Linked DNA regions of Struthio camelus. The protein of the gene in region 1 interacts with the protein of each later gene in a biochemical or structural test. Links are inferred from orthologs where the notes say so. Each region holds a gene or a part of one and is shown on either strand. Other genes may lie near its edges. The genes, in order: ANAPC11, UBE2C, PTTG1 and UBE2S.

Region 1 (6,299 bases):
AACCACGCTCCAGTCGAACGAGGAGCTTCATGTCTTGAGCAAAATATCCCTTGACTTTCTATTCTAGAGACAGCCCAGCTCAAGCAAACTACTGTAACTCGCTGGCTTTACTGGATAGAGATGCACAGATTAAAATTCAAATTTGTTTAAAGCACCAAAATGCTTGCTAGGCCATACTTTTTGATCAGAGCTAAACTACAGCACTTTGACATGCTTAGATAAGACTATGGGCCCCCTACACCACACTTCCTGTTCCTCCAAGTGTTTTGTTTTTTTTTTTCCCCAACATTGCTATTTATTTATCACTAATTCCAGAGAAGACTGCTCTAAAGCACAGCACAGTTCCATGTCAATTTTTCTGGCTTCTGTCATACTGCTGCCTCAATTTTATCCCATGCCTACAGAGACCAGCAAGATTCAGATTACAATACACACGCACTTAACCTTGATTCCCTGTCAACAAATTAACCTTGCTGTGGCACAAAGACATCTGAGCCAGTTGGGAATGAAGTGCTCTTCATTCAGCTCTGCACTTTATGGACTTGTATACCATGAACAGCATCACTAATCTCTTCTCTGTTAGCATCAAATGTCATTATCTCACATATGTTTTTTACTTTTGTTTTTCATTTTTTCCAGCCTATTATCTCTGTTATTTTGTTATGCAGCTATTGTTCATACATTGCTATTTCAGCTATAAAAGGGTCCAGCCTACATGGGCCCTAGACAGTCTGGGGAAGCTGGAAAAGTGGCTATTTCTCAACGATGGGCAAGGAAAAGCTGTAGATAAAGTGTTTTGGAAAGTTAAATTAACTGCAGGAACAAGGCATTGCTCAGCTTTAGAGGGAGACTATTCAGTCCAATGATCCGAGAAGTGATCCCTTTCCTGCCAGCCCTGGGCCGTCAATGTTTCCCAGCACCAGATCCAGCAGGGTGCACCGTTCTGCAAGTACGAGCAGCACTTACCCTGGCATTGTAAGCATCCAGCTGTGCATCTAGTTCTTCTGCAGAGAGTTGCTGTTTGGAAGTTCTTCCAGCTCCTCTGCCTCTCCCTCTGCTCCCACCACGACTACCTCGCCTGTTGCCACCTCCACCACCAAATCCTCCTGTACCACCACGGTTTCTGGTCATGCCACCTCTGTTTACACTGTGATTTTTAAAAAGCAACCGTTACAGTGCATTCTCGTTAACCCAGACAGCCACTCAGAAGTTTGTAGAATGGAAGATGGATCCATGCTTCCTATACAGAGGGAGGCTATGCAAATTGGGAGGCTATCCCCATGCTGACCAGGCACAGCAACTCATGTGGAAGTACAGCATCTCACCTCTGTGCTGGTCTCCTCTGTGTGTCTATCTGTGACGTAACCAGCTGAATGTTCATGGGGCGCCCTAGAAGAAAAGAAGCCAGTAAGTCCATGCAGGGGGATATAGGGACCTGGACTCCTCCAGTTGTCAAGTGAAAAACACCACAGAAACAGCCAAGTAGACTCACCATCCAAGGGGACTCCATTGTACTGCTTCATAGCTTTCAGAGCATCTGCCTTTCTTTCAAAATGCACATCTGCTGTCCCTAGACTGCGGCCAGATCTGTCATAGTGCACTGCTGCCTTCTTCAAGGTCCCAAACTCTGCAAAGAGTTCCTGAGAAACAGAGGGAGAAGAGTGAGCACGCTTCAATCCATGCTGCTAAGGCAGAACGGCCAAGACAAAGCACTGGCCGTTTCCTAGATACACCAACTTTCAGCAAGTACAGGTGCTTTTCAGAACGTCACTGACAACTCAGAAGAAGAATCTCTGAAAGAGCAAACATAAGCCCAACAGAAGAACTTCAGGAAGCGGCTACACACAGCAAAAGCAAGTAAGACACTACTTGCATACTTGGGTGTGTGCATACAGCCAGTGGAGCAGGGTCAAGGGGTGTTGACCTGCCGCTTCTGCCAGGGAAGCTGCACATCTTTGTGCCGAGACTACATGTACAGGGCTGCTATTCAAAAATAATCCAGACCCTAAACCATTTCACAGAGGAAGAATGATCTTTATTTCTATGAATGCAGTGATTCACAAGGTGATCATAGTTTCTATGTGCTGGACTTCTCTTATAAAATCTTTGCTAGACCAGTTACAGTTTAAAAAAACCAATCCTGTCATCTTGGAGCTTAAGAACATATCCCAAAAACTGAGCTTAGGAGGAGTCCTCTACTGAAGTATGCCCTCTTGTTACTCACTGTCTTGAAGGGTGGAAACGAGCAGAGGCAGCAAGAGAGCCACAAATTTTGTTTTGCGCGGGTGCTACTTTTGGTAAATCAACTAGGGACATCTCATAGCTTTGTAAGTTTCTATTATAGCTAGTGCCTCGAAAGCTCAAAATCTACACCAGAATTGTCGGATGTCCAAAGGGAGACTGCCTGCCACCTTTCATGTTATCCGCTGCAACGCCTGAACATTATTCCAATATTTCCAGTATTTGAAAAGAGCAACACAGATATTCTTTTACTTCCTAAGCAAACAGCACTCCAGGCAAGATTGCAGGCCAGCTTCTACCTTGTATTCATTTAACTGACGTGCACGTTAACACAACACTCTGTACAAGCCATCTGGAATACGGAGCAGCACACACAAAGAGCTGCTCAACAACGTCTTAAGGAACAGCCTCTCTCACTGTGCTACAGAAAACCCTGGTTCTCCATGAGCAGCAGTGGTGGGTCGGGGTATGACACTATATATGTCTTCTCCAAGAGCTTGTTTTAGGTTCCTTCCAGTCACCCATTCCTGGCAATACAACTCCCGGGCTACCTTGTACCTCATTAATGACCCGATTAGCATAAAAACAAGGAAACTAGCCAGCACAGGAAGTGCTAAATTATGAGGCAGTAGTAACAAATAGGTACAAGCCTGTTAAGTCAGCTTTGCTGCTAAATAAAACACACGTGGAACTTCATCAGCACCTATAGTCCAAAACAACAGCGAGAAAGACATACCCATCTGCCACACACACACACACACCCCTACAAAAACTAGTTGAACTGAAGCAACTTCACAGACTCACGTTTTATACATGAGGGCCTGACTACAGTAAACAAGGAACTTATTTCAACCAAAGCTAACTTTAAATAGGAAAAAAGAAGTGGCCTTAAGTGCATTACCCAAACAAACGTCAACTCGGTGACCTGAAAAAAACACTCGCTCTCAATTCTCCAGACGTAGCCAGCTTAACTTACAAGGTAGCTGAAACGAACTAACAGATGAAAAAGCGTTTATTTTCTGGCAGGAGGCACAGGGACCAAAAGCCAACTTAAAGTGAAGTGTTTTGCAGTGTAACCTAACTAGCACAGCCCCCTAGTGGGGATGCACCTTACATTTGCAAACGTTTGTGGCTGTACAGTTTACTGCCCATACATTACAGCACCCTTATAGCTAGGTGGGTCCACCAATTTCAATCTCCGTTCTGATCAATTCAGCCATAAAGACAAATCACACCATATACCTGACTTAAAGCATCTGGAAGATTTTTAACCAAAGCAGAGCTGAAACTACGACATGGCAACTCAGCTAGAAAATTGAACTACTGTAAGAAATACAAGGTAATTATAGATATCACAACGTAAGGGGGAATGTCCCCCCCGACAAATAAGCCTTCTTAATTTCACTGATCGATGCTGACATAGGAATACTTTCACGCTTAATAGAACGTGGCTTTAGAACAAAGAAACTATGTAAACAAGTCCCATAAAAACAAAGCAAATTGATGTACGTATAGTATAGTTACTGAATTCACAGGGAAATGCAACTTGTGTTTACATAGTTTATACAAAGTTCTCAAGCCACAGATGGATTCAGGCAAACACCAGTATATTTTCCCACACAAACATTCTTGCTAATGCTAATAGCCGCAGATCAGAAGAGGCCAGCAGCTTCTTTGAATTGCAGTTACCTTCACATCCTCAGAACAACTGCACAAGAAATACTCATGGCACAAATACAACCACAAACCTAGAGTTAAAGGATTTGGAGATCTCCCCTCTGGGCCACAGAAAGCAGCGGGACCTCAAGAGCTACAGCATCCCCAGGAAGCGCCCGAAGCAGATGCTATGAATGAATCCCCCCGCCAATGCCGGCCGCGCGCACGACGGGGCCGCCGGCGCCGCTCACCTGGATGTCCGCGTCCGAGACGCCGAAGTCGAGATTGGAGACGAGGAGCTTCCCGCCGGTCTCCACGCCGGCGCCCGCCCCGAAGCCGCTGTCGAACAGGTCGTGCTGCCACTTCTCGGGCAGCTGCTTCGGCTGCAACGAGACCGCCACCTCGCTGACCGGGGCCGGGCCGGGGCTCCCGCCGCCCGCCACGCGCCCCGGGGCCGCCGGCGCGAACAAAGGGCCGCCGGGCAGCCCGCCGCCGCCGCCGCCCCCCGCCACTGCCGCCCCCCGCCCGGCCCGGCCCGGCCCGGCCCGCCGCCGCCGCTGCCCCGGCCCAGCCCCCCGCCCGGCCCGCCGCCCCCGGCCCCGGCCCCGCGCGCGGCTGCGCCGCCGCCGCCGCCCCGCCCCGCTCCGTACCCGGCTGTAGGGCGCGGGCCGGTTCCTGCCGCCGCCCCGGGCCATCACCGGCCGGTTCCGCACGGGGCCGCCGCCGCCCGCTCGCCCGGCTCCCACAGCGCCCCGGCCGGGCCCGCCGCCGCGGGTGGCGCCTCCCCGGCCCCGGCCGCCCCGACCGCCCCGGCCGGCGCCCCGCTGGCTCCGGTTGAGCTTAATGATATCGTCCAGGGACATGTCCATCTTGTCGGCCATGATGGCGGCTCCGCTCCGGGGCCTGCACTTCCGGCCGCGCTGCGCCCACGCCGGAAGCGGAGGGGGCGGGGCTGGCGGCGAAGGCGCGGCAAGCCGCGCGCGCTGCCGCGCGGGGCCTTATGGGGCGGCGGCGGCTCCGGCGATGCGGCCGGGCAGGGGGCGGGACTTCCGGCGGGGAGGGGCGGGACTTCCGGCGGGGCGGGGCGGGGCGAGGCGAGGCGGGCGGCGATGCGGGTGAAGATCCGCGGCTGGAACGGCGTCGCCTCCTGGCTCTGGGTGGCCAACGACGAGAACTGCGGCATCTGCCGCATGGCCTTCAACGGCTGCTGCCCCGACTGTGAGTACCGCCGCGCCGCGACGTGACGTGACATGCCGTGGCGTGGCGTGTCGAGGCGTGACGTGGCGTGGCGTGTCGAGGCGTGACGTGGCGTGGCGTGTCGCGCCGCGCCGTGACGTGCCTCGCCGGGGTGTGATGTGATATGTTGCGGTGTAACGTGACGTGGCATGCCGTGACGTGACGTTGCATGTCGTGACGTGGCGTGGCATGTCGCGGCATGACGGGACGCGCCGTGACGCGCCGCGGTGTCTGTCCTAGGCAAGGTGCCCGGCGACGACTGCCCGCTGGTGTGGGGTCAGTGCTCGCACTGCTTCCACATGCACTGCATCCTCAAGTGGCTCCACTCGCAGCAGGTGCAGCAGCACTGCCCCATGTGCCGCCAGGAGTGGAAGTTCCGCGAGTGACGCCGCGCCCGGGCCCGGCCGCCGCCGGCAGAGCCGCCCTGGGGCTCGGGGCCGGGGCTCGGGGCCGGGGCTCGGCCCTGGGGCGGCTGCCGCCCCGCTGCGTGGCGCTGCGGTGACGGCCGGGCCCCAAGCTGCGACTTCCCTACCTGCGCTGCTGCCCGTAAACTCGCTGCTGTGATCTGCTTGTTCCAGCGTCCCTGGCGCCGCTGGGCTCTGGAGGGGCTCAGACCGCGGGCAGAGCCGCCGGCCCCCACGGCGGGGCAGGCAGGGGACGCGGGGTGCAGCCTGCGCCAGCCTGGGACCCCCGGGCGGACCCGGCTCCCCACGGGCTGGACGCGCTCCGAGCCTCCCCCCGGCAAAGCGCAGCCCAGCCGTGTCGGCGGGCGGGAGCCCTGCCTGGGGCAGGTGCCAGGACGCCCCAGCGAGCGGGGCCACTAATGAGCGGGGCCAGGTCGAGCAGCTCCTTCCCCGCGGGCAATGCCACCCCGGGGAGGCGGGCTGCTCGGCTGCGGCGGGGGAGGCGCAGAGGAGGTGGCATGTCACCCCCCCCCCAACCTGCCTATAAAGGCAGCAGCAGCAGCCCTGGAGCTGCTGCAGTCCTGCTGGCACCATGCACGCTGTCCGCTGGCTGGGGCTGGCCCTGGCCCTGGCCCTGGCCCTGCTGTGCCGCCCCGCTGCGCCTTGGTACAAGCAGGCGGCCGGACCCAGCTACTACTTGGTGGGCAGAGCCTCGGGGCTGCTCTCCGGCATCCGCCACTCGCCCTACATCCACCGCTCCGA
Region 2 (6,353 bases), on another chromosome or scaffold:
CATCTCACTGTCTGTGAACAGCACTGCGCTTTAGAATCACTCTGCAACCAGAGCTGATATAGGGCTTCTGGCCAGATACACTTGAATCTCTGGGGTCTGCAGTGACCAGCCCTTGTGGTCTACTGGGCATCTGAGTCATTAGCTATGGCCTTTAAAGTTTACCTGGCCTGGGGCTCTCTCTCCAGCGCGAGTGTCTTTGCACACATGAGCCCCTTTCATAGGGAAAGGCAGGGGTAGCTGGCAGTCCCTCTCTGGACCCAGAATCAGATAATCCTTTCTCTTCTTACAGGCCAAGCTGCTTTTCTCTGATGGCAAAAAGGTGATCCCAAGGTTGCCCCATGAGCAGGCGGTACCAAAGGTAAAAGTTGTTATTGTTCCTGTAGTCTTAAATGACTTTAAGAGCTGGAAGAAATAAGAGGAGGGTTTTGAGTTGCTTTGTTTTCTGCCTGTTCCTTATCTGTTGAATTACAGAATCAATATGTAAGTGGGGGGTACAGTGTTGTCCTTTAAAAGCTGCAGGATAGATCTCTCCCTGATATCTGGTTGTCCATCAGTTGCTCTAATGAGGGGGTAGAACTGGGAGATGTTGGGCTAGGAGGGAGGGGGTACAGAGCAACAAAAGTCCCATGCGCTGTTGCTTATTGCAACTACGTGCTTCATACCGAGATGGGTTGGCTTCAGCGTTCCCTGTGCACTTGTGCTCTGTGCCCCAAGTGCGGCAGATAAGAGAGTAGCTGACAGGGTGGGTGGGGGTTCTGACTAGACAGGGAGAAGGGCTGCTGTTCACTTCCTGCCGTTCCTTTGCCAGCGTGCCAGACAGATGGATGAGGAGTTGAATCGGCGAGGAAGCCCTGTTCCCAAAAAGGTAGGGTTTTCCACAAAAATGCTTTTATGTTATGGGAAGCCTCTTCCTCATCCTTCCCAGAAAATAAGTGCATGCAGATGCAGCTTTTGTAATGCCTTAGAGGTCCTTACTCTAGGGCTAGCCAGCACTTTGCTCGTGGTAAAAAGAGCAATTTTCCCAGCAGAGGATAACCGAAAGAGTACCCTCAGCCTACACAAATGAGTAGCTCAAGGATATCTTTCTTGCAGAGAAAGGGTCGGCCTCCAGGACAGAGCCTGGCAAATGATCGTGGGGTCTCGGGCATGGCTGCGTGAGTATGGGTTCTGACTTAGAGCCTGCGCTTGGAGAGGGTGGGGAATGAAGCAGGGAGTGTAGAAGACCCTCTGGAAAGCAAGGCCCAAAGGGGCAGAAGGGTCCAGATGGACTATTCAGGGTGAGCAGTATATGACACAGGTAGAGGTGGGATGTTGGCAGCTGGGGAGAAGAGAATGTGCAGCACGGATGAGGATCCAGAGCTGGGCACTGGAGAGAAATAGAAGGTGTGAATGCAAATGGAGCTGGGAGGGGGTGGAGCTCAGCTCCCTGCTGCTAGGTGCTTGCGGTGTTCTGTGAGTTGGTGCCTCTGGGATCCGTTCTTATTTCATTTTCCTTCCCCTCAGGTGGAAGCTCAAAGTCTCTGAGCCCGTGAGAAGGGATGGACCAAAGGTATCGGTTGGCCAACACTGCTGGGCTCACCCTCTCCTCCTCTTTGCTTCCGTCAGCAGAGCCCCACCTGCTGTGGGACCGGAGGACAGTTCTAAGCTGTGCTCTGCCCTGATGGGCCTCTGTGTTGCAAAGAAAGAAGCAAGAAGAGGAGTGAAGTGCCTGGAAGCCTATGCTCGTCTCCTCCAGTCACTGTAGCCTATAGTTCTGTGGTGTGGTACCAGCTTTTCAGGAGACTTAGGGCAAGCAGTAGTAGCCAGGAGGATCCCACGAGTGTTATGTGCCGAGGAAACTGCTTAGAGCAGCCCAGGGTGACATAATTTCCCTCCTCTGTGGAAATCCAGAGGTTTGTGGCTAGCTGCCTCCCTCCCAGCTCAGGGGGCGGTTCTGAGGCCCCCATCAGAGATCTGAGGCTCATGGAGCATTGGTTGGCACCAGCTTCATTTCTAATGTTGCCCCTTTTCCAATTGCTCTGTAGTGGGATCCATCCCGACTGACTGAAACCACAACCTTTGTGCTGGGATCTCGAGCAAACAAGTAAGGAATGGCCCTGTTGATGGAGGGTGGTGTCTCCCAGGCAGGAGCCCTTAAGACTCCTCCCATCACCTCTCTGCCTTGGAAGCAGTAGGAAGGGCACGGGCTTGGGGAGGAGAGGAGAGGAGAGTAAGTGTCCCTGTACCGCTCAGTGCCCCTTCTGCACCGGTTTAACACCCGCCTCGTGTTCCTGTTTCAGAGCTCTCGGGATGGGAGGAACAAGAGGGCGACTCTACATCAAACATCCCCACCTCTTTAAGGTCAGATACCACAGCAGGATGCTTCCTCCTTTGGGGTTTGCTCAGAAACAGTTTGTGATGGGAATCAGGAATGTATGCTTTGGCTCACTTGTTGTCTTCCTCTCCCACACCCTTGTTTGTTGTCTTAGAACATCTAGAGTCTGGCTAGCACACTGAAACATAAGCTAACAGCCTAGTGCAGCCTCTGAAGTGGTGTTTTTGCCTGGAGCCAGGGTTTTACTCTGAAGTAAAAGCAGGCAGAGCTGAGCGTTCCCTCCCTGAAGATACAGATCGGCAGCATTTGGGGGGTCGTGCAATTGCAGTGGAGCACTAGAATGGGGTTCAGTGCCCAAATACAGGGGTGGTCAGAGCAAAAGGTCTGTTGCCTGTGTTCAGCTAGGTCCTTGCTGCTTTATTGCAGTATGCAGCCGATCCGCAAGATAAGCACTGGCTGGCAGAGCAGCAGCACATGAGGGCCACTGGGGGCAAGATGGTGAGTACGTTCAGGCTTGCGCCTGCCGCAGCCTGAGAGAGAACTGTACAGAATCCCAATTCAGGATTGAAATGGGCAGGTGAGCAGTAAACCAGGGCACGTGCAGCGAAAACAGTGTGTTGTGGGGAAGGTGAGTTTGTGCAGGAGGCCAGGCAGAGCTCGGTGAGGCAGTTGTTTCTGGGTGCTTGGGGCACCTCAGCCAAGGAGATTGTGTTTTGCTGCTCCTCTGGGATTTGGGCACATATGAGAGAGTAGGGCAGAACCAGGAGGTACCAAAAGCTCCTCGTAGGAGCAGGTCTGCAGGCTGGTGGGGTTTAACAGGGCCAGCGGGAAGGGGGTTATGAGCTTCCATCACTGTGCCAGGCAGACATCTCATTTCTGAGCAGAAGCATGGTGCGTCCAAAGCTCTCGCATGGGAAACCTGAAGCGTTTTGCCCCTTGTGCTGCAGGCTTATCTCCTCATTGAAGAGGATATTCGGGATTTGGCTGCCAGTGAGGATTACAGGTGAGGCTAGAAGCCCAGAAGTCTTTTGTGCTGCAACCTTCTCCCCTTTAGTGAAAATGGCTCAGAACCAGGGGCTACCCTGCCCGTGCAAGAGCCGCAGGGGTCCCCGCTCAGCGCTGGCCTCTGCCCTCCGCAGGGACTCCGTTGACCTGAAGCTGGAGGAGCTGAAGCCCTTCATCCCACCGGCCTGGATGACGGAGAAGATGCAGAAGTACATGGAGACGCTTCGCAACGGAGGGGACCCGCTACCGCCGCCGCCGCCGGAGGGGCCCCCCGAGCCCTGAGGCCTGCCCTGCCCAGTGGCCCCGCCGCCGCCCGGCGCCACCCCGGCACCGGCCCTCGCAATAAAGCTGCTTCGCACCCGCCTCCGCTGCCTCCTTCCCGAGGGGTAGGGGGGTTGGGGGGGGGGGGTGCTGGCCCTTTAAGGGGTCCGCCTGGACCCCCCCCCCCCACCCCGGGCTGGGAGGTCACGTCACGGGTGAGCCGCCAATAGGGGAGCGTGTGTGGCGTCGCCGTGCGACCAATCGGCGGCCGGCCGCTGTTTCCAAGGCAGCCGCATCCCTTGCGAGCGGTGATTGGTCGGCTCGAAGGGAGCGCGCCGCCGATTGGCGGAGGGGCCGCGGGTTTGAAACATTCAAACGGGGGCGCGGGAGCGGCGGGGGCGAGCGGGGACGGCGGAGCGGGGACGGCGGGGCCGGCAGCGGAGCGGAGCGGGGACAGCGGGGCCCGGAGCGGAGCGGGGACAGCGGGCCAGGCCGAGCCGGGCCGGGCCGGGAGCAGCCGGGCCCGGGGCGGAGCGAAGCGAAGCCGGGGGCAGCGGGCCGAGCGGAGCCGGGCCAGGGGCAGCGGGCCGGGAGCGGAGCGGAGCCGGGGGCAGCGCCGGGCGCAGCAGGGCGCGAGCAGCCGCGGCCGGAGCCCAAGAGCAGGAGGCGGAGCGGGAGCCGCGATGGCCTCGCAGAACGCGGACCCCGCCGCCGTGCCGAGCGCGGCCGCCCGCAAAGGGGCCGAGGCGGGGGCCACGGCCGCCCGCGGCTCCGTGGGCAAGAGGTGAGGCGGCGCCGGGCGGCCGGGGCGGCTCGGGGGAGCGCGGCCGCCCCGGTAACACGAGCTTCCCCCGCAGGCTGCAGCAGGAGCTGATGTCGCTGATGGTGAGTGGGGCGCGCCGGGGTCGGGGGGGGGTCCGCTGGCTCCGAGCCCCCCTGACGGCGCTGTCCCCGCAGATGTCCGGTGACAAGGGCATTTCCGCCTTCCCCGAGTCCGACAACCTCTTCAAGTGGATCGGGACCATCGACGGCGCGGCCGGCACGGTGAGCGGCCCGGGGCACCCGCGGGGCCGGGGCGGTCCGGCCCCCCCCGGGCCCTGCCTGCCCCCCCCCACCCCCGACAGGGGCGGCCCCGGCCCCCCCGGGCCCTGCCTGCCCCCCCCCACCCCCGACGGGGCGGCCCCGACCCCCCACCCCGGCCGGCCCCCTCCCTGACTCCTGCCCCCAGGCCTACGAGGACCTGCGGTACAAGCTGTCGCTGGAGTTCCCCAGCGGGTACCCCTACAACGCGCCCACCGTGCGCTTCGTCACGCCCTGCTACCACCCCAACGTCGACACCCAGGGCAACATCTGCCTCGACATCCTCAAGGACAAGTGGTCGGCCCTGTACGACGTCCGCACCATCCTGCTCTCCATCCAGAGCCTGCTGGCAGGTGGGGCCCGGCGCGGGGTTCGGGGCTGTGCTGCCGGGGGGGGCCGGGCTGGGCGAGAGCTGCGCCCGCCGGCGGCGGGGCACGGCGGGCCGCTGGGGTCGGGGCCACCGCCGACCCCGTGCCCTGTCCGCAGAGCCCAACATCGAGAGCCCCCTGAACACGCACGCGGCCGAGCTCTGGAAGAACCAAGCTGGTGAGTGTCCCGGGGCGGGATCCCCGCTCCTGCCGCGGCCAGGCGCCGCGCAGCCCCGGACCCCGCTGCGCGGGTGCTGCCCGGCGCCGCGCTGCGCTCCTGTTGCGGGGCTGCCCGGCCGCTCTCCCGGGCCCCTCAGCACCATCCTCTCCCTCTCCTCGCAGCCTTCAAGAAGTATTTGCGGGAAACGTATGCCAAGCAGGCGAAGAGCCAGGAAACTTGACCCCGCGCTCCCCCCCTTCCCGCCGGCAGTGTCTGTCTCTCGTTCTTGGGTCTCTGCTCTCCTGCTCTGTCTCTGTCCTGCCGCTCTCCGCGGCTTTCTGTATCATAGGCTGTTTTTAAATTAATTCTGCAGTCCGAGCCACGGTTAATGTATAAATAAATGCACGTTTATAACTCTGTGCTGGGGGCCCGGAGGGTTAAGCTGCAGCCTGGCATCTTGTCCCTGCGCATGCCTGGTGGCCCCTTCCCACGGGCGCCGTGGCCCAGGCCCCTCTGCCCGTGCGGGAATCAGGAGGGACAACAAACCTCGAGGGCTGACGGGGTCTTTAATAACCCTCCGCGGTGCCCGGGGCATCGCCGGCTCCGCGGCGGCCGCGCCGCCCCAGGCTGCGGGACGGGGGTCCCAGCCCTGCCACTCTCTCGCCCGCCCGGGGCGCATCACAGGACCGCGCAGCAGTGCCCAGTGCCCGGCCGCGGCCCCGCAGCCTGCCTCTGCCCCCGAGCCGCCCCGGCCCGGGTAGCCGCGCTGCCCGCAGCCCGGCCCCGCTGCGTGGCCTCCACCGTCCACAGCGGGATGTTGGCTCTGCTCTCCATCTCCGCCAGCATGGCCCTCATCTGCTCGATCTCCTCCTCGGGCCGTGGGGCGGCCGGGGGCCGCTCGGGGCTGTGGCTGCCCTGGCGGCCGGGCCGCCCCCCGCCGCGGCACGGGCCCTCGGGCCGGCCGCCCAGCCCGGTGCGCAGCAGGGCCGCGCCGCCGGCGCCCGGCGGGCCGAAGAGCTGGCCGAGGTGGTGGGCTTTGCGCAGGTCCTGCAGGAAGAGCTCCAGGGCGCAGAGGAAGAGCACCCACAGCCGCTCCAGCTCCAGGCGCTCCTGGGGGCCGGCCGGCGGGCGCCGCAGCCCCGCCACCAGCGCGCTCCGCAGGCCT
Region 3 (8,159 bases), on another chromosome or scaffold:
ATAAGAACCTTATCCACCTGGAAAGAAGTTCAGGCTTACTATGTATTTTGTGTTGGTTGGAGATTAAGTTTACTCTGCCATCTAGTGACAAAATGCAAGGTGACAACATATGGAAAATGGAGGCCCAATTGTACGTACTCTATTGGTTAGTGTGTTTTTTCTTACAGTATAATATTTTGATTAAGAAAACCCCTCAAAATACTTCTCACCAGTAATGATCTCTACTCCCCCTCGTTTTATAAACCTAGAAAATTATCACAAATACCTCTTAAATTAGAATTTTATATTAAAGATTATCAGAAGCCTTGACTAGATAATCCAAGAGGAGCTTGCAGAAGTTAGTGGAAGATGCAAACTCTGTGGAGTTGCAAGCAAGAAGCTTGCATATCCTCAGCCTTCAAATAACCAAAGACACTGCAAAGAGTGAATCAATAACTGAGGAAGATACAAGTTTGGTTCTAAGGAAAAGAAAATGCCTTCCTATTCCTATTTATATGAAGCATTAATCAAGCAACCCATAGTCACATAATGGTCATAACCACATTAGTCAGACATAACAATCTTTACATTAAAACTCTCATTTTAGTGCGTGAACAAAATTACTACATGGGAAATTATTTTTTTCTGACCCACAATTCCATATCATTCATTTTAGCAAGAAATACTAATTGCCAGAACTGAAGCAGGAAAGTCTTGCCTATGAGGGGAAAAACAAAGGCACTTTCATTTGAAAAAAGGTATTTTGCATTCACGTAAACAACACAGAGTATGGATGCATTACGAAGCACTGAAGCATTACTTCAATGCTTCAGGCAGGTCATGTTACTGAAGGGCACGGAAAGCAATAGGAAACTCAGTCTGCAGAGTAAGAGCATCAGAGAGCAAAAGCGACCTTTTTATCTTTATTCAGCCTAAACAAAAATGAATTAGGGTTTAGTTTCCTTACCACTTGCTCCAGCTTTCCTGATGCTAACTCCTCCTGAAGCTTCTGGGCTTTCAGCGTACGTTTGGCCTGCATATCATTAAAATGCACTTGTTTTAATACTTTCTTTCAATCCCAAGTGTGTAATAAGACTCATCACAAGCACCTCTTACGACCACTATCGTTTTAACAAGTATTAATTATTACAAAACGTGGGCTGCGAATTCTCTGGGTGCTTGTCAAAAAACAGCAGCCCAGCTTGCCTACCCTACTCTTACATTTACCATGTTATATTTTTTCAGATCAAGGAAAGGAAATGTGTATATACTAACCATTTTGCTGTTTCATATTATTCTGTTAAAGAGTTTATTAGAGACTACGCGGCTATACTATCCCTACGTACTTCCTAAAAATACTCCCTAACCATCAATTTTTAGATTAAGAAAAAGCTCAAAGCATTTCAATAGAGTTTAAGAACAAACATATTTTATTATTGTGTCCTTTTATGCTGAATCTAGTTAAGAACTTCAATGCTTGAGGTAGGTCATGATTTATACTGCAAGCATTTATGGTTCATCCAGGAAATACTGAAGTCTAAAGTGAGACTCTGAAGCAGCCACGTAGTGAAATTTTGTATGTTTGACATCACAGAACCATAGAATGGCTGAGACTGGAAAGGACCTCTGGAGATCCTCTAGTCCAACCACCCTGCTCAAAGCCGAGTCGGCTACAGCAGTTTGCTCAGGACCGTGTGCAGCTGGGTTTTGAATATCAACAAGGGTGGAGACTCCACAACCTCGCTGGGCAACTCATTCAAGTTCAATCACTCTTACAGTGAAAGCAAGCTTTTTCTTATGTTTAAATGGAATTTCTTGCCCTTCAGTTTCAACTCAGCGACTCCTGTCCTGTCCCTGGACGCCACTGAGAAGAGTCTGGCTCTGTCTTCTTAATATTCTCTCATCACACATTAATACACATATACAAAAATCACATCACTAACATCCAGAATACCTTCATCTAGCATTAGCTTTCCTGTGCACTATAGGGAAAAACTCAAATCCTCAGATCAGGCCCACAAAGGCACTTAGGTATCTAACTGCCTTTTGGAACAGGCCTACCATCCAGCCAAGGTGGTGAACTACTTTTTTAATATGAAGTTAACAGTATCCACATGGATTTGGTACATACAGCTAGAAAATTACTGCAACAGTTAGGTGCTGATCTGCACAGAGACATTTACAGTTAGTCCACTGCTCTATGATAGTAACAAAAGGGACTCACAAGTAACAAAAACACGAATGAAGTTTAAGAAATGAATATAGATGTTAGCTCTGATCATTATAGCCAGCCTATAAATTCCTTTCTGTAATTCAATCTTCATTTTGGGTAATGAATTCTAGGGCTGGCCTAGTAAAAGACAAACAATTTGAAGAGAGAACTCATTTATTGTGCAGACCCATTTTCAGTTGCCAGTTCTGATCTGAGTTCCCAGCTCAGTCTAAGTTGGTTATCAAACACAGACTCCATCTCTGTTTTTCATTATGAATACAGCACAAGATCTAGTATCAGAGCGCACAGAGCACACGTGCCTCCCCTTATCCCCAGCCAAACACAGAATTTTTCCCCAGTAAATTATAGCACCTACATACCAAGTCAACTTTGGAATATTCCTCTACAATCTTCATGTGCTCTTCTGGGTTATAACCATTCCAACGATCTCGTTTTCCATCATAATCAAACATCAGCTGAGGCTGCACATGTTCATCTGGTGCAATGTTCATGCCGGTGTATTTTGCTCCAACTTTCCTGGGTCTCTGAAAGAAAAAGAAATGGTTGGATCAGTTCATTAGACTGAAGTATATTATTCACTTTAAAAATATGGTATCAATTAAGCTGCTCTAAAGCTGATTTAATCCAGCACTAGAAACGAATCGTAAGTAAAAGTAAGTAGTTCATTTCTAGATTTTTATAGTAATGCAACTGTCTAAAACCTATCAATTTACTGCAGCCCCACATAACCCTATCTTCCACAGTTAAGAAAGGAATTAAATTACAATTCCTGGAAAGTGTTCTTAACTGACATGCAACCGAAAAGGTTAGCCTCAGCAGCACTTGAGTAAAAACGAATTAATGCAAAAAATTAAATGATAAACCTTTTCACCTATTATTGCAGCTCTTTTCATATACAGTTGATAGGCAACATCCTGAATGGTTTTTTTTTCCCCCCTACCTAAAGGTTACTTTAGAAATTTTCAAGCAACGCTTCAATATTTGAGAAACTAGTAACGTTCTTGTTATTTATAACCAGCTATTTTCCACTAGAGAAGAATTTGCATTGTTTTCAAAAACATTAAAACATCAAAGGTCAAATTTACCTCCATGCAGTCTTTCTTTTTGTGTGTCAATGCACCACAGTTCTCACAAGCTCCTTTACGATATTTCGTTGCTACAGCATGCTAAACAAAAACAACAAAAAACAGCATTGTACAAGCTTCCACCAAGATTCATAGACGCATTCCTAATAACTACCTCATTTTTTCAATGCAAGCAAAGTATTCATGCTCTCCACAAAGCCATAACACATCTCAGTTATCACTAAACACTGTGAAACGTCTGCTGAGGAAGAATTCCCGGCTCCTGTCGTCTTTAAAACATGTAACCAGAAAACACAGAAGATTATAGGAACCAACGTTTCTATTCTTCCTTTCTCACAGAATCAAATCTTATCTTTACAACCAAAATATTTTGCATACCTCTTGAACTCCTCGTTTGTACCAATCTCCAGAGGAGCTATACTGTTTCTGCTTCTCTGGCTGAGGTCTCTGGTGCTTTAGAGTGGGTCTTTTAGAAGGATCTATGTACCATGGCACTGAAGATATGTACTGAGGAATGTGAGGATTGATATCTCTGTAAAAGATATCACGTAATAAATACATGGCAGGGGAAAAGAATAGCAACTTAACCTAATGCATAACTCTCACCTTCAACTTCAGCGTTTTAGGGCTGATCGTAAAATAACCACCCAAGTTGTTACAATGCTTTCTAAGTTTGTATAATAAATAAAGACTTTTTTTGATGTTCTGTCTTTATAACAGAAGACTTATCTTATAACAAAAATAGTAATATCCCTTCTCATCACAGACAATAACAGGTGCAATAAGACGGTGAAGAGCCTTGCAGAAACCACAGAGAGAAGGAAAGAAATTGATAAGCTGCACAGTTAAGTTCCCCAGCACTACCTTTTGCTCTCTTTTAAAATACCACTTGTAAAGATCTGCACAGGGCAGGGCTTTTTAGCAGCATCCCAACAGATCAGACCAACGCTGAACATACGTTATTCTTTTGCAAAAACAAAAATCTATACATCTGAAGAAGGCTGGAACGTTAAAAGTAAATTCACGAAGTACAATAATTCAGTTCCGCGTTCACCTTTTGTGCTGTCCCTCACGATTTTGTAATCGCAATAAGCAAAATACCTAGTTTTAAACCCTATTACTTTAGAATGACCGTAGCTTTAATAAAACTTACTTTCCTTCTTCATCCACTTCCGCAGGCGCGTTTCCCAGTTTTCTCTGTTCTTCCAACTCCTTCTTTTTCCTCCAGTCTTCCCTTGTCATCTTCTTTGGTTCCTCCAGGCTAACATCACTTGATCCTCCCGAAGGAGTCGCGTTAATTACTGTCCCAGACGCCATTATATCTCTCTCTGTAACAAAAGATCAGTAAATGTGTTCATCCAGGCGCACCGAGCAGCACCTCGCCGGGGCCGGGCCGGGGCCCACCGCCCTGCGAGGGCCCGGGAACCTCCCCAGGCCCAAAGCGGCCGCCCGCAGAGAAAGGAGCCTGCCCAGCACGGTGACCCCTCCGCCCCCGACCTGCCACGGGGAGCTCGGTGCGGCAGCCCCGACTCGAGCAGCCCGAGCGGCCCTGACCGCCCCGCCAGCCTCCGCCTCCCTTGTTTACCGGCTCCGCTGCGCCACACCGCCACACCGCCGCGCCCCACAATGCCCCGCGCCCCGCCTCAGGCCCCGCCCCCAACGGAACTCGCGCCTGCTGGGGCGGGGCCAGGCAGTCACCACAGCAACGCCGCGCCGCCGCCGCCGCTGCGGCTGCCCGCGCCACGCCCTGCCCGCCCTGCCCGCCGCGCGCGCCCAGCGGCAGCCAATCGGCAGCCTGAGCGTTAGTCTAACGGGCCAATGGGAGGTGCGGCGGGGGTTTAAAAGTCGCCGGCAGGACGGACCCCTCTGTTGCGCCGCTCTTCAGAGGTGAGAGGGGTCGTGGTGGGCCGCCGCCGCCGCCGCGGTCGGCTTCCCCCCCCCCCTCCTCCTGAGGCCTTGCATGGCCTGAAACGCGCAACTTTCTCTCTGCTGTAGGTGCTGTTGTTCTGCTCCGTAGCACAGGTCTGTTGGCAGCGCTTGAGGGGGGCCTCTCCCTAGGTAAGTGCTGTTGGGCTGGGAAGGCAGGTTTTGCTTGGCTAAATCTGAGGCCTCTTCTTGGTGTGAGCAGGTGATGGCTCCTGGAGCCTGGCCAGAAGATGGCGTTGAGGTCTGTGGCTGTGAATTTTGCTTTGGCTTTGTGTTTAAGCTCTAAATTCCAAGTTTTACCTCAAGGCAGCTTTTTCTGGAGGCTTTTTTTCCTCCTTGAGTGGTGAATAGCCTGTCTGTCTAAGCAATGGAAGTGAGATCTGGTGAGCTTTTTCTTAGCTGTGCAGGGAGGTACTCTGGATTACCAGTGACACCTTGCTGCTTCCCTGAACTCATGCAAGTTGCACTGGGAATTTTGAGACTATCGTGTGCACTGATAAAGAAAATTATTCCCAAATGGAGAGAAGTATGTCTTGGCTGCTCCTCTAGGAAGCAGCCTGGGGCAACTGTAATGTAGCTTGTTAAAGTGTGCTATTGTAGCAGAGACAATAAAAACTGACTTCTTTCTACTCATGGGCTTCCCAGAGTGGTCTCATCAGCTTGAAGATGGCAACACTAATTTTCATTGATAAAGAGAATGGTGAAGTTGGTGCTACTAAGAATCAGTTAAGACGGCCTTCAGCATCTTGTGAGTATATGCTGCACTGAGTAAACTAATCAGAGGATGGAGTAAAGACCACAAAATTAAGGATTTGCTGTTTGCTGTTTTGGATGTTAGTACAGTTTTATTCTGCATACCTGTATCTAGCATATCAGTTAATATAAAAGTGAAAATAACTATGTGCTTTCATGGTAGAGAACACTTATGCTTTTAAGTTATAAGCAGAGAACAGTGCTTTTATGACACCTAGTTTTCCAACATATGCACATAGTGAAGCAAACTTTATGCTTGTTATAGAGCCAAAACTTACTTTTCCCCCCCCCCCAGCAAAAGTCTTATCTGAAAGAACACAAGTCCATACTCCACTTCCAAAAAAAAAGATCAGTACATCTCCAGCCACATCCCTCTCTGTCAGAAAGGCGCTTGGAAACGTGAACCGAACTCTAGCAGCAACAAGCAAGAAGGAGCAGTTGAAACAGAAGAATCAGCCTTGCACTGCAAAGAAGGTGAGTGCAGTACTTCTGCAGGAAAAATAACACAACTTATCTATGTAGGTACAGCTTGAGTAATATTCAAGGGCGGAGAAGTGACTCTGGAGAAGATATAGCCTGATTTCCTGTTTTGCTGACATCCTAAGTAGTAGGAGCTAATACTGGGAACCCAAATGTTCTAGTGTGGTGATCTGTTGCCCCTGTGTATAGTATATCATTACACTAACTCAGTTGAAGCATTTGCCCTTCTGCAGCTTATTTGCACTGAAGGTGTTAGAACTTAGGCATAACTGAGGACTATGTTGCAGGCATTCTGGTCTGTAGATCTATACATCACAGAAAAGCCCCTACTATAGGTCCTAAAAGGAGGAATTACAGTAGCTCAGATGAATAATGTGCCTCTTTCCTTAAGATTACTGAAAAGACTGCTGGATTAGAAAGCTGTGATGCAGTAGCTGAAGAAGCCTATCCAGAAATGGAAAATATGTTTCCCTATGATCCTCTAGGTAAGAAATTATTGATGGAGTTATCAGAATGAACAATCAGGCTCTTGTTTGAATCTTGATTTGTCTCAAGACTTTGGCCAAGCTATTGTGGCAACCAAACTGGCATTGCATTTCTGGCATCCTTCCTTAAACATAAGGATGCTCACTACTTAGGAGTACCCCCTCATTCTTGTTTGAATGTTTCTAACTGCAGTAGCTGCACTCAAGACACGTAGTCTTCTGAGGCCACTACTGTGGTGGCAGGAAGCTGGTTTCAAATACTAAGATATGGTCTCTTAACTTATTAAATGGCATCGAGAAGACAAGCGCTCAGAAGGTCTTAAGCAGTGCTGAAGTGTAGACTTTTCCTAAGTGTATACTTCAGATGGCAATATGTAACTGGAGAGACTCCTGCTGAAGTAGGAATCCTACTCCTGTAGTTGTATAGTAGAAATCTAAAATCTCTAAAGCTGTTCTTAGAATCTATGCAAACAACTTGCAGTGCTTTTTTAATCCTATATGCCCTCAAACCTCTAGTTTCTAGAAATAGTTTATGTGGAAGTATATAAAAGCTGTTATACTGGAGACTTCAGTGTTGTTGAAACATGTGTTGCTTGATGTAGTTGACTTGAACTGCTTTTCAGTCACCATACTAATGGCTCCTGGGTCATATTAGCAGTTTTGTTTTGCAGTCTACTTGTCTCTTGATTAAATATTAGTATATGGGCTTTTATGGACAGTTGATTGTAACTGCAAATAAGCACCCCATAAATGGACTATTAAATTGAGGTGCTTTGGACCTGGTCCTAATTAAACTTAGGAGGACTTGTTGCTTCCAAGGCTACTGTAAGTGTTGGTGTACACTGCTAGTAAACTACAGTGTTTTCTGTGAACAGACTTTGAGAGTTTTGATGTACCTGAAGAGCACCGACTAAGCCATCTGACACTGAGTGGTGTTCCCCTCATGATATTTGAAAGTACCTCTGACAGACTTGTAAACATGGCTCCTTCTCCTGTGAAGCTCCCCCAAATGTCATGGGAGCATGGTAAGTGGAGATGTGCATGAAGCTCAGTGTATGCAAGTGCTTATTAGTGGTTTGGGAGGGAAGCTATTGGGCTGTTGCAATAATGAAACTGTCATTGCTATCTAATACTACCAGAATAGGAGTCTGGTATCAAACAACTGTTGGCATGTAACTATGGTGATTTTTTTCCCTGCTGGCCAGCTCTCTTAGTACA
Region 4 (7,899 bases), on another chromosome or scaffold:
TGCAACATGGCTCAGTGCAACACGGCACCGCGGGACACGGCACCGCGTGACACGGCTCAGTGCAACACGGCACCACGCGACACGGCACCGTGCAACAGGGCACCGTGCGACACGGCACCACGCGACATGGCACCACGCGACACGGCACCGCGCAACACGGCACCGCGTGACACGGCACCGTGCAACATGGCACCGTGCAACACGGCACCGTGCGACATGGCTCAGTGCAACATGGCACCACGCGACATGGCTCAGTGCAACACGGCACCGTGCAACATGGCACCGTGCAACATGGCACCATGCAACATGGCTCAGTGCAACACGGCACCGTGCGACATGGCACCGTGCAACATGGCACCACGCGACATGGCTCAGTGCAACACGGCACCGTGCGACACGGCACCGTGCAACATGGCACCCACGCGACATGGCTCAGTGCAACACGGCACCGTGCAACATGGCACCGCGCGACATGGCACCGCGCGACATGGCTCAGTGCAACACGGCACCGTGCGACACGGCACCGTGCAACATGGCACCACGCGACATGGCTCAGTGCAACACGGCACCGTGCAACATGGCACCGCGCGACATGGCACCACGCGACATGGCTCAGTGCAACACGGCACCCGCGCGACACGGCACCGCGGGACATGGCTCAGTGCAACACGGCACCGTGCAACATGGCACCGCGCGACATGGCACCGCGCGACATGGCTCAGTGCAACACGGCACCGTGCAACATGGCACCGCGCGACATGGCACTGTGCAACACAGCATCGTGCAACACGGCACCGCGTGGTGCGACACCGCTTGGTGCAACACGGCACCGCGCGACACGGCTCAGGACTGTGCACCACGGCGCTGCACAGCACCGCACGGCGCAACACAGGACTGTGCGACACGGCAGGGTGCGACACGGCTGGGCACCGTGCAACACGGCACCGCACGGCACCGCACGGCACGACACGGCGCGGCTCGGTGCGGCGCAACGCGGCGCGGTGCAGCACGACACGGCTCGGCACGGCACAACACGGCTCGACACGGCACAACACGGCTCGGCACGGCGCGGTGCAGCACGACACGGCGCGGTGCAGCACGACACGGCTCGACACGGCACAACACGGCTCGGCACGGCGCGGTGCAGCACGACACGGCTCGACACGGCACAACACGGCTTGACATGGCACAACACGGCTCGGCACGGCGCGGTGCAGCACGACACGGCTCGACACGGCACAACACGGCTCGACACGGCACAACACGGCTCGGCACGGCGCGGTGCAGCACGACACGGCTCGGCACGGCACAACACGGCACAACACGGCTCGGCACGGCACAACACGGCTTGACATGGTTCGGTGCAGCACGACACGGCTTGGTGCAGCACGACACGGCTCGACACGGCACAACACGGCTCGACACGGCACAACACGGCTCGGCACGGCGCGGTGCAGCTCTGGACTCGGCCAGCTAATGACATCACAGCCCGGGGCTCGGCGGCTGATGATGTCATAGCACCCAGCTCGGCAGCTGGTGACGTCACAGCCCGGGGCTCGGCGGCTGATGATGTCATAGCATCCAGCTCGGCAGCTGGTGACGTCACAGCCCGGGGCTCGGCGAATGACGGTGTCACCTCTGCCCTGGGCGGCTGATGACGTCGCAGCCTGGGGTTCAGCAGCTGATGACGTCACAGCACTCAGCTCTGCAGCGCACGACGTCACAGCCTGGGGCTGACGGTGTCACCTCTGCACTCGGTGGCCAGCGGTGTCACAGCCTCGGGCTCAGCGGCTGATGACATCACAGCCTCGGGCTCGGCGGGTGATGACGTCACAGCCTGGTGCTCGGTGGCCGACGACGTCGCGGCCGCGGGCTTGGCGGTGATGACGTCAGCCTCGGCCTCTGCGGCTGGTGACGTCACAGCCCCGGAGGCGGCAGCAGCTGGCGCCGTCGCCCTGTTCGACTCGCCGCCCGACGACGTCACAGCGTCGGACTCGCCGTCCCGTGATGTCACAGCGTCGGACCTGCCGTCCGATGATGTCACAGCAGCCCGCGGCCTTCCCCCGGGCTCGCGATGATGTCAGAGGCGCCCGGGGCGCCCGGCGCCTCCCCCGGCCTTCGCCGCTTCTCGATGATGTCAAGCCCGCGGGGGCCGCGACTCCCGATGATGTCAGCACTGCGGACTCCCGTCGCCCCCCGATGACGTCACGGTCGGGGCGGCGCCGTCGCCGACCGATGACGCCCGGCGCGGCCGCGGGCGTTGCTGACGTCGGTGACGTCACAGCCGCGGGGGTTCCCCTCCCCCCGGTGATGATGTCACAGGGCGGAGGCGCCCGCCTCACCATGATGTCACTGCCAAGACTCCGCCTCCCGTGGGGGTGGGCGGAGCCCTTTTTGATGATGTCACCTCTCTTCGCTGATGTCACCGGAGAGAGCACACCCCTTTTTAACTCCCCCTTTCCCAGTGATGTCACAGCCTCCTCCCCCGTGACATCACAGCCGTGCTTCGATGATGTCATCGCCGGCGTTCGGGGGGCCCCTCCCCTTGTACATATCTGTCCCAGTGAGTTTGTCAGGTCTCAGCCCCCCCCCCCGGCCGAACCAAGGGCTACCCCCCCCCGGGGGCCCCGGCACACGCGTGTGCACACGTGTCCCACGCGGGAGCAGCCACGGGGCGCTCGCACACGCGTGTGCCCCCCCCGTGACCTCCGGGGCCGCCCCGTCCCCACCGAATCGAAGCCATAGAAAAGGGGGGGCCCCAAAAGCGGAGCCGTCGCCGGGGGGGGGCTGCGTGTGCCGCGGGCGCACACGCGTGCCGGCGCATGTCCGTGGCATTGCACACGCATGGGGGGGGTGTCACATGTTCCCCCCCCCGGCGCCCCACGTGTCCCTCCCTGGGGCCCATGTGCCTTAGCGTCCCCCCCCCCCGGACAGGGGGGACACGACGGGGCCCGGGCGGGGGCGGCAGCACACGCGTGTGCGTGTTCTCCCCCCCCGCGACACGTGTTTGCACGCGGCGGGGGGACGTGACACGTGTGCACACGCGTGTCCCTCTCGCGCACACGCGTGTGGAGCCCCCCCCCCCCCAGCTCGAGGGTGTTTTTAAGCCCGATTTTAAGCAAAAAACCTGGTGGCCTGATGGGGGGGGGCCGGGGCGCCCCGAGGGCGGGAGGGATTTTGGGGAATAAACAGACGTTTCCTGGCCGGGGACTCGGCTGGATTCAGATTGGGGGGGGGCCGTGGGGGGTGGTTTGGGGGGGCCCAGTTTCGGGGGTCCCTGGGACTGGGGGGGCTGGTTTGGGGGGGTCCCAGATTGGGGAGGGTCCCATGGGGGCTGGTTTGGGGGTCCCAGTTTGGGGGGTCCCATAAGGGGGGGTGGTTTGGGGGTCCCAGTTTGGGGTGTCCCAGTTTGAGGGGGCTGGTTTGGGGGGGTCCCAATTTGGGGGGGTCCCATGGGGAGGTGGTTTAGGGGGGTCCCAGTTTGGGGGTCCCATGGGACTGGGGGGCCTGGCTTGGGGGGTCCCAGTTTGGGGGGGTCTCATGGGAGGGGCTGATTGGGGGGGTCCCATATTGGGGGGGTCCCATAGGGGGGTGGTTTGGGGGTCCCAGTTTGGGGGGGTCCCATAAGGGGGGGTGGTTTGGGGGCCCCAGTTTGGGGTGTCCCAGTTTGAGGGGGCTGGTTTGGGGGGGTCCCAATTTGGGGGGGTCCCATGGGGAGGTGGTTTAGGGGGGTCCCAGTTTGGGGGTCCCATGGGACTGGGGGGGCTGGTTTGGGGGGGTCCCAGTTTGGGGGTCCCATGGGACTGGGGGGGGTTGGCTTGGGGGGTCCCAGTTTGGGGGGGTCTCATGGGAGGGGCTGATTGGGGGGGTCCTAGATTGGGGGGGTCCCATGAGGGGGGGCTGGTTTAGCAGTCCCAGTTTGGGGGTCCCATGGGACTGGGGGGGCTGGTTTGGGGGGGTCCCAGTTTGGGGGTCCCATGGGACTGGGGGGGGCTGGCTTGGGGGGTCCCAGTTTGGGGGGGGTCTCATGGGAGGGGCTGATTGGGGGGGGTCCCAGATTGGGGGGGGGTCCCATGAGGGGGGGGCTGGTTTAGCGGTCCCAGTTTGGGGGTCCCATGGGACTGGGGGGGCTGGTTTGGGGGGTCCCAGTTTGGGGGTCCCAGATTGGGGGGGGGTCCCAGATTGAGGGGGGTCCCATGGGGCTGCGGTGCGTTGGGGGAGGACATCCCCCCCCCGGACGAAGCTTTCCCATGAGCCCCCGCGACAGCCCTTATTTACATACATTAATAGGAATGAGGCCGTTCCTCACGCCTTCCTCGCTGATTGGCTGCACCGGCTGCCGCTCAGTGACGCAACCGCCCCCTCCCGCCAGCGGAGGAAGTCCCGCCCCGCCGGTCAAGCCCTTCCCTCCCTCCCGCCTCCCCTCCCACCGCCCCGCGCGGCCTCTCCCGCCTCCCATTGGCGGAGCCGCCTGCCAATCGGCCGTTTCAAACGCTCCCGCCCCGCCCCTGCCCGCCGACCGTTACGGCGTCAACAACCGCCGCTTCCCGCCCCGCCCCTTCCGCCTCGCGACGTTCGTATTCCGAACCCACCAATCAGCGCCCAGCGCCCGCCCCTCCTCCCTCTTCTCCCATTGGCCCGCGCCCGCCCTTGACACCGGTAGCCCAGCTCCACCCCCAACCGCGGCGAAGGGGCGGGACCGAGCGGCCGCGCTCCGCCGGCGCTGATTGGCGCGGGGTGCGGGAGGGGGCGGGTCCGGCGGGGCCAAGAGGCTATAAAGGGCGGCGCAGAGCACGCGCCGCGCTCAGTGCGACGGGTGGGCGGCGGCGGCCGGAGCGGCGGGAGCGGGCGGCGGCGGCGGCGCCGCGGATCGGCGGGCACCTGCCGCTCTCCGGTGGGGAGAGGGGGGCCCTGCTGCGGACCCTGCCTCTCCCCACCCCCCCGGCCACCCGGCGAGGCCCCCCCGGGGCAGGGGGGGGGGCCCTGAGCGGCCTCCACCGGGCCTAGCGCCATGGTGAGTGCTCCCCGGACGCCTGGGCCCCTTGCGTGCACTTTTTTTTTTGGGGGGGGGGGGACACTTTGAGCTGGGCAGGGTTTGGGGGCAAGAGGGGCACCACCCCCCCCCAACTGCCTCCCCCTTCCCCCCCAGGCCTGTTTCCCCTCAAGCTGACTGGGGGAGGGGGGGGGGACATGGCCCCTTCTCCCCCCCCCCCAAACGTGGGTCTGTCGGGCCCAGCCAGGAGGGGGCTGAAACCAGCCCCGAGAGGGGCAACAGCCTGAAACTTGCTACCTTTGGGCCTGTTTAATTTGAGGGGGGGGGTTAAATGCAGCCCCAGGGGGTGTCCCCCCCCCCCCACGAGCTGTGGTGCAGCAATGGGTCGTTTCATCCCTTTTTCCTTCCCTTGCAGGAGGCTCGAGGTGCCTGGCAGGTGAGTGTGAAACCGGAGCGGCTTTAGGGTCTGGCACCCCCCCCCCCACTCACCCCAATTCTGCCCCCCCCCCCCCAGCAGGTGCCCCAGGGACTGGTCTGGGGGAGCCCTCGGCCGCGGGGCAGCGCCAAACCTCCAGGCGCCGCCGTCCCGCTGCGGGACGGGAAAGTTTGAGCGCGCCGAGTTGCTCCCTTGGGCCGGACGAGGGAAAATAGCGGCTTTTTTTTTTTTGGGGGGGGGAAATAAATAAATAAAAAGGGGGGGGTCGCATGAGGCTCCTCCGCAGGTGGGGAGCGGCCAAACCTCCGTCGCTTCCCCCTTTTCCGGCTGGTCTGGGGGGGTCCGAAGCCCTCCCCGGTCGGGGCCTGCTCTCGCTCCCGGTTTGGCAGGCCGGGGCCGGGGGGAAGGAGGTGCCGGAAGCGACCTGCCCTCGCGCGAGGCCTTCGCTCCTGACAAACATATTTGCTCCCGCCGCCAAGTAAAAGCACGTCCGTCCGTCCCCCCCCCACCGCCACCTCCGTCCCCCCCCCCCGCCGCCGCCGTCCCCTCCAACCCGCTGCGCAGCGGGTCGGGCGAAAAGGCGTCCAAACGCAGGGCGAGAGCGGCCGAGCGGCCGCCTAGGCCTCGGGGAGAGTCCGCTAAATCAACAATAAGTCCGGGAAAAGGGGCCGCGGCGGCTGCGCTGGGGGCTGCGGGGAGGGGGGGGCTCGCTACCAGCTGGTGGGGGGGGGGGGGGAGACGATTTGGCAGCACGGTGGGGGGATAAGTTGGCGTCGCTGCCCGAATCGTCTTTCGGCAGCTCCTTCCCTGCGCGTCTTCGGGGGGTGCTGAGGGCCGGGTGGCTCTTGGGGGCCTCGGGGCGGAAAGCGGAGGTGGGGGGGGGGGGGATGTTTTTGGCCTTCGGGGAGACCGGCTCCGTTCTCGGCGCTCCTGGTCTCTTCCCCGGCGCGCCGAGGCCTTGTTGGCCTTCTCGGACGTTTCGTCTCGAATCCGGGGCCGTTTCTAGGTGTTTTGGGGGGGGGGGGGGGCTGCTAACGATGCCCCCGGCAGCACCCGCTGCCCAAACTTTTGCCGGCCGGGGCTGGCGCATGGGACGCGCTCGGAGATTCGTTCCCTAGGCGGCTGCCTCCCCCCCCCCCCCCCCCCCCCAAAAAAAAATACCCCGCGTCCGGAGGGGTGGAGCACGAGGCGGCCGAAGAGCCTCTGGGATTTCTGGCGTGGAGCGAGTTGGCCAGTCTCAGCTCGGGAGGCAGCTTGGCCCTGGGGGTCCCTCCGACTTTTGCAGAGATCGGTCCGTGCCGGGGGGGTCTCTGACGCCTCTTCCCCCCCCCCCCCCCTTCCCAGAACTCCAACGTGGAGAACCTGCCGCCCCACATCCTGCGGCTGGTCTACAAGGAGGTGTCGATGCTGACGTCCGACCCGCCCGACGGCATCAAGCTCTTCCCCAACGAGGAGGACATCACCGACGTGCAGGTCACCATCGAAGGCCCCGGTGAGACGGGGAGGGGGGAGGCCCGGGGTTCCCCCCCCCCTTCCCCCCAGCGTGGGGCTGGCGGGGGTCCCTGTCCCCACAGCAACCTCTGTCCTGGGGACAGTGTCCCCCCCCGCCATGCGGACGGGACCCCCCCCCCCGACCAAGCCGAGCGGGAGGGGAGCGCACGGCGCGGGGGGCTCCGGACCGGCTCTCACCCCCTTTCCCCTCTCTCCCCCCCCCCCCCAGAAGGCACCCCCTACGCGGGGGGCGTTTTCCGCATGAAGCTGGTGCTGGGCAAGGAGTTCCCGGCGGCTCCCCCCAAGGGCTATTTCCTCACCAAGATCTTCCACCCCAACGTGGGCCCCAGCGGCGAGATCTGCGTCAACGTCCTCAAGCGCGACTGGAAGGCCGAGCTGGGCATCCGGCACGTGCTGCTGGTGAGCGGGGGGCCCGCCGCGGCTGGGGGGGGACGCGCACACACTGGTGGGGGGGGAAAGAGTGGGGGGGGGGGGCTGCCCCACGTGGTCAGGCTGGGCCCTGGGGTGCCCCACTGAGCCCAGGGAGCTGGGGCACCCTGCCAACCCCCCCCCCCCAAGGGTGCCCTGCCCTGGGCCTTGCATCCCCCCCAGCTGCCCCCACCTGGGGTTGGGGGACATGGGGGTGATGTTAGGGGAGTCCCGGGGCAAATGCGGACTTGGGGGTGACATTAGGGGTGTCCTGGGGCAGACTGGGAGATTTGGGGGTGACATTGGGGGTGTCCCGGGGCAGACTGGGGGACATGGGAGTGACGTTAGGGGTGTCCTGGGGCAGACTGGGAGGTTTGGGGGTGACAGGGATGTCCTGGGGCAGACTGGGGGACTTGGGGGTGACATTAGGGATGTCCTGGGGCAAACTGGGGGAACTGGGGTGATATTAGGGGTGTCCTGGGGCAGACTGGGAGGTTTGGGGGTGACAGGGATGTCCTGGGGCAGACTGGGGGACTTGGGGGTGACATTA

The links.
Region 2: the proteins of ANAPC11 (region 1) and UBE2C form a complex in vitro, tested with the Homo sapiens proteins (66 studies listed by BioGRID). The link is inferred for Struthio camelus from reciprocal best matches to the Homo sapiens genes ANAPC11 and UBE2C.
Region 3: of the proteins of ANAPC11 (region 1) and PTTG1, one has a biochemical effect on the other in vitro, tested with the Homo sapiens proteins (3 studies listed by BioGRID). The link is inferred for Struthio camelus from reciprocal best matches to the Homo sapiens genes ANAPC11 and PTTG1.
Region 4: the proteins of ANAPC11 (region 1) and UBE2S form a complex in vitro, tested with the Homo sapiens proteins (31 studies listed by BioGRID). The link is inferred for Struthio camelus from reciprocal best matches to the Homo sapiens genes ANAPC11 and UBE2S.

Annotation. Positions count from the first base shown.
Region 1 is NC_090960.1:404,541-410,839, reverse strand, and holds ANAPC11 (anaphase-promoting complex subunit 11), read left to right. Parts: upstream 1-4,966; 5' UTR 4,967-5,006; coding exon 5,007-5,115; intron 5,116-5,373; coding exon 5,374-5,519; 3' UTR 5,520-5,524; exon of another isoform or gene 5,525-5,611; intron 5,612-5,641; 3' UTR 5,642-5,779; downstream 5,780-6,299. Other genes in the region: ALYREF (THO complex subunit 4), read right to left, coding at 967-1,147, 1,326-1,389, 1,493-1,640, 4,149-4,280, 4,548-4,778; NPB (neuropeptide B), read left to right, coding at 6,130-6,299. UniProt on the Homo sapiens protein: Together with the cullin protein ANAPC2, constitutes the catalytic component of the anaphase promoting complex/cyclosome (APC/C), a cell cycle-regulated E3 ubiquitin ligase that controls progression through mitosis and the G1 phase of the cell cycle.
Region 2 is NC_090959.1:19,299,547-19,305,899, forward strand, and holds UBE2C (ubiquitin-conjugating enzyme E2 C), read left to right. Parts: upstream 1-3,985; 5' UTR 3,986-4,263; coding exon 4,264-4,364; intron 4,365-4,437; coding exon 4,438-4,465; intron 4,466-4,537; coding exon 4,538-4,624; intron 4,625-4,808; coding exon 4,809-5,013; intron 5,014-5,146; coding exon 5,147-5,206; intron 5,207-5,370; coding exon 5,371-5,429; 3' UTR 5,430-5,607; downstream 5,608-6,353. Other genes in the region: DNTTIP1 (deoxynucleotidyltransferase terminal-interacting protein 1), read left to right, coding at 290-358, 809-865, 1,093-1,154, 1,504-1,549, 2,025-2,083, 2,280-2,340, 2,741-2,812, 3,262-3,317 and 1 more; regulator of G-protein signaling 9-binding protein-like, read right to left, coding at 5,867-6,351. UniProt on the Homo sapiens protein: Accepts ubiquitin from the E1 complex and catalyzes its covalent attachment to other proteins. In vitro catalyzes 'Lys-11'- and 'Lys-48'-linked polyubiquitination.
Region 3 is NC_090954.1:14,387,049-14,395,207, forward strand, and holds the start of PTTG1 (securin), read left to right. Parts: upstream 1-4,965; 5' UTR 4,966-5,184; intron 5,185-5,292; 5' UTR 5,293-5,355; intron 5,356-5,868; 5' UTR 5,869-5,889; coding exon 5,890-5,971; intron 5,972-6,271; coding exon 6,272-6,450; intron 6,451-6,847; coding exon 6,848-6,941; intron 6,942-7,816; coding exon 7,817-7,966; intron 7,967-8,159. Other genes in the region: pre-mRNA-splicing factor SLU7, read right to left, coding at 947-1,012, 2,572-2,736, 3,298-3,378, 3,676-3,829, 4,451-4,614. UniProt on the Homo sapiens protein: Regulatory protein, which plays a central role in chromosome stability, in the p53/TP53 pathway, and DNA repair. Probably acts by blocking the action of key proteins.
Region 4 is NW_027182594.1:68,530-76,428, reverse strand, and holds the start of UBE2S (ubiquitin-conjugating enzyme E2 S), read left to right. Parts: upstream 1-4,804; 5' UTR 4,805-5,011; coding exon 5,012-5,014; intron 5,015-5,408; coding exon 5,409-5,429; intron 5,430-6,773; coding exon 6,774-6,921; intron 6,922-7,149; coding exon 7,150-7,340; intron 7,341-7,899. UniProt on the Homo sapiens protein: Accepts ubiquitin from the E1 complex and catalyzes its covalent attachment to other proteins. Catalyzes 'Lys-11'-linked polyubiquitination.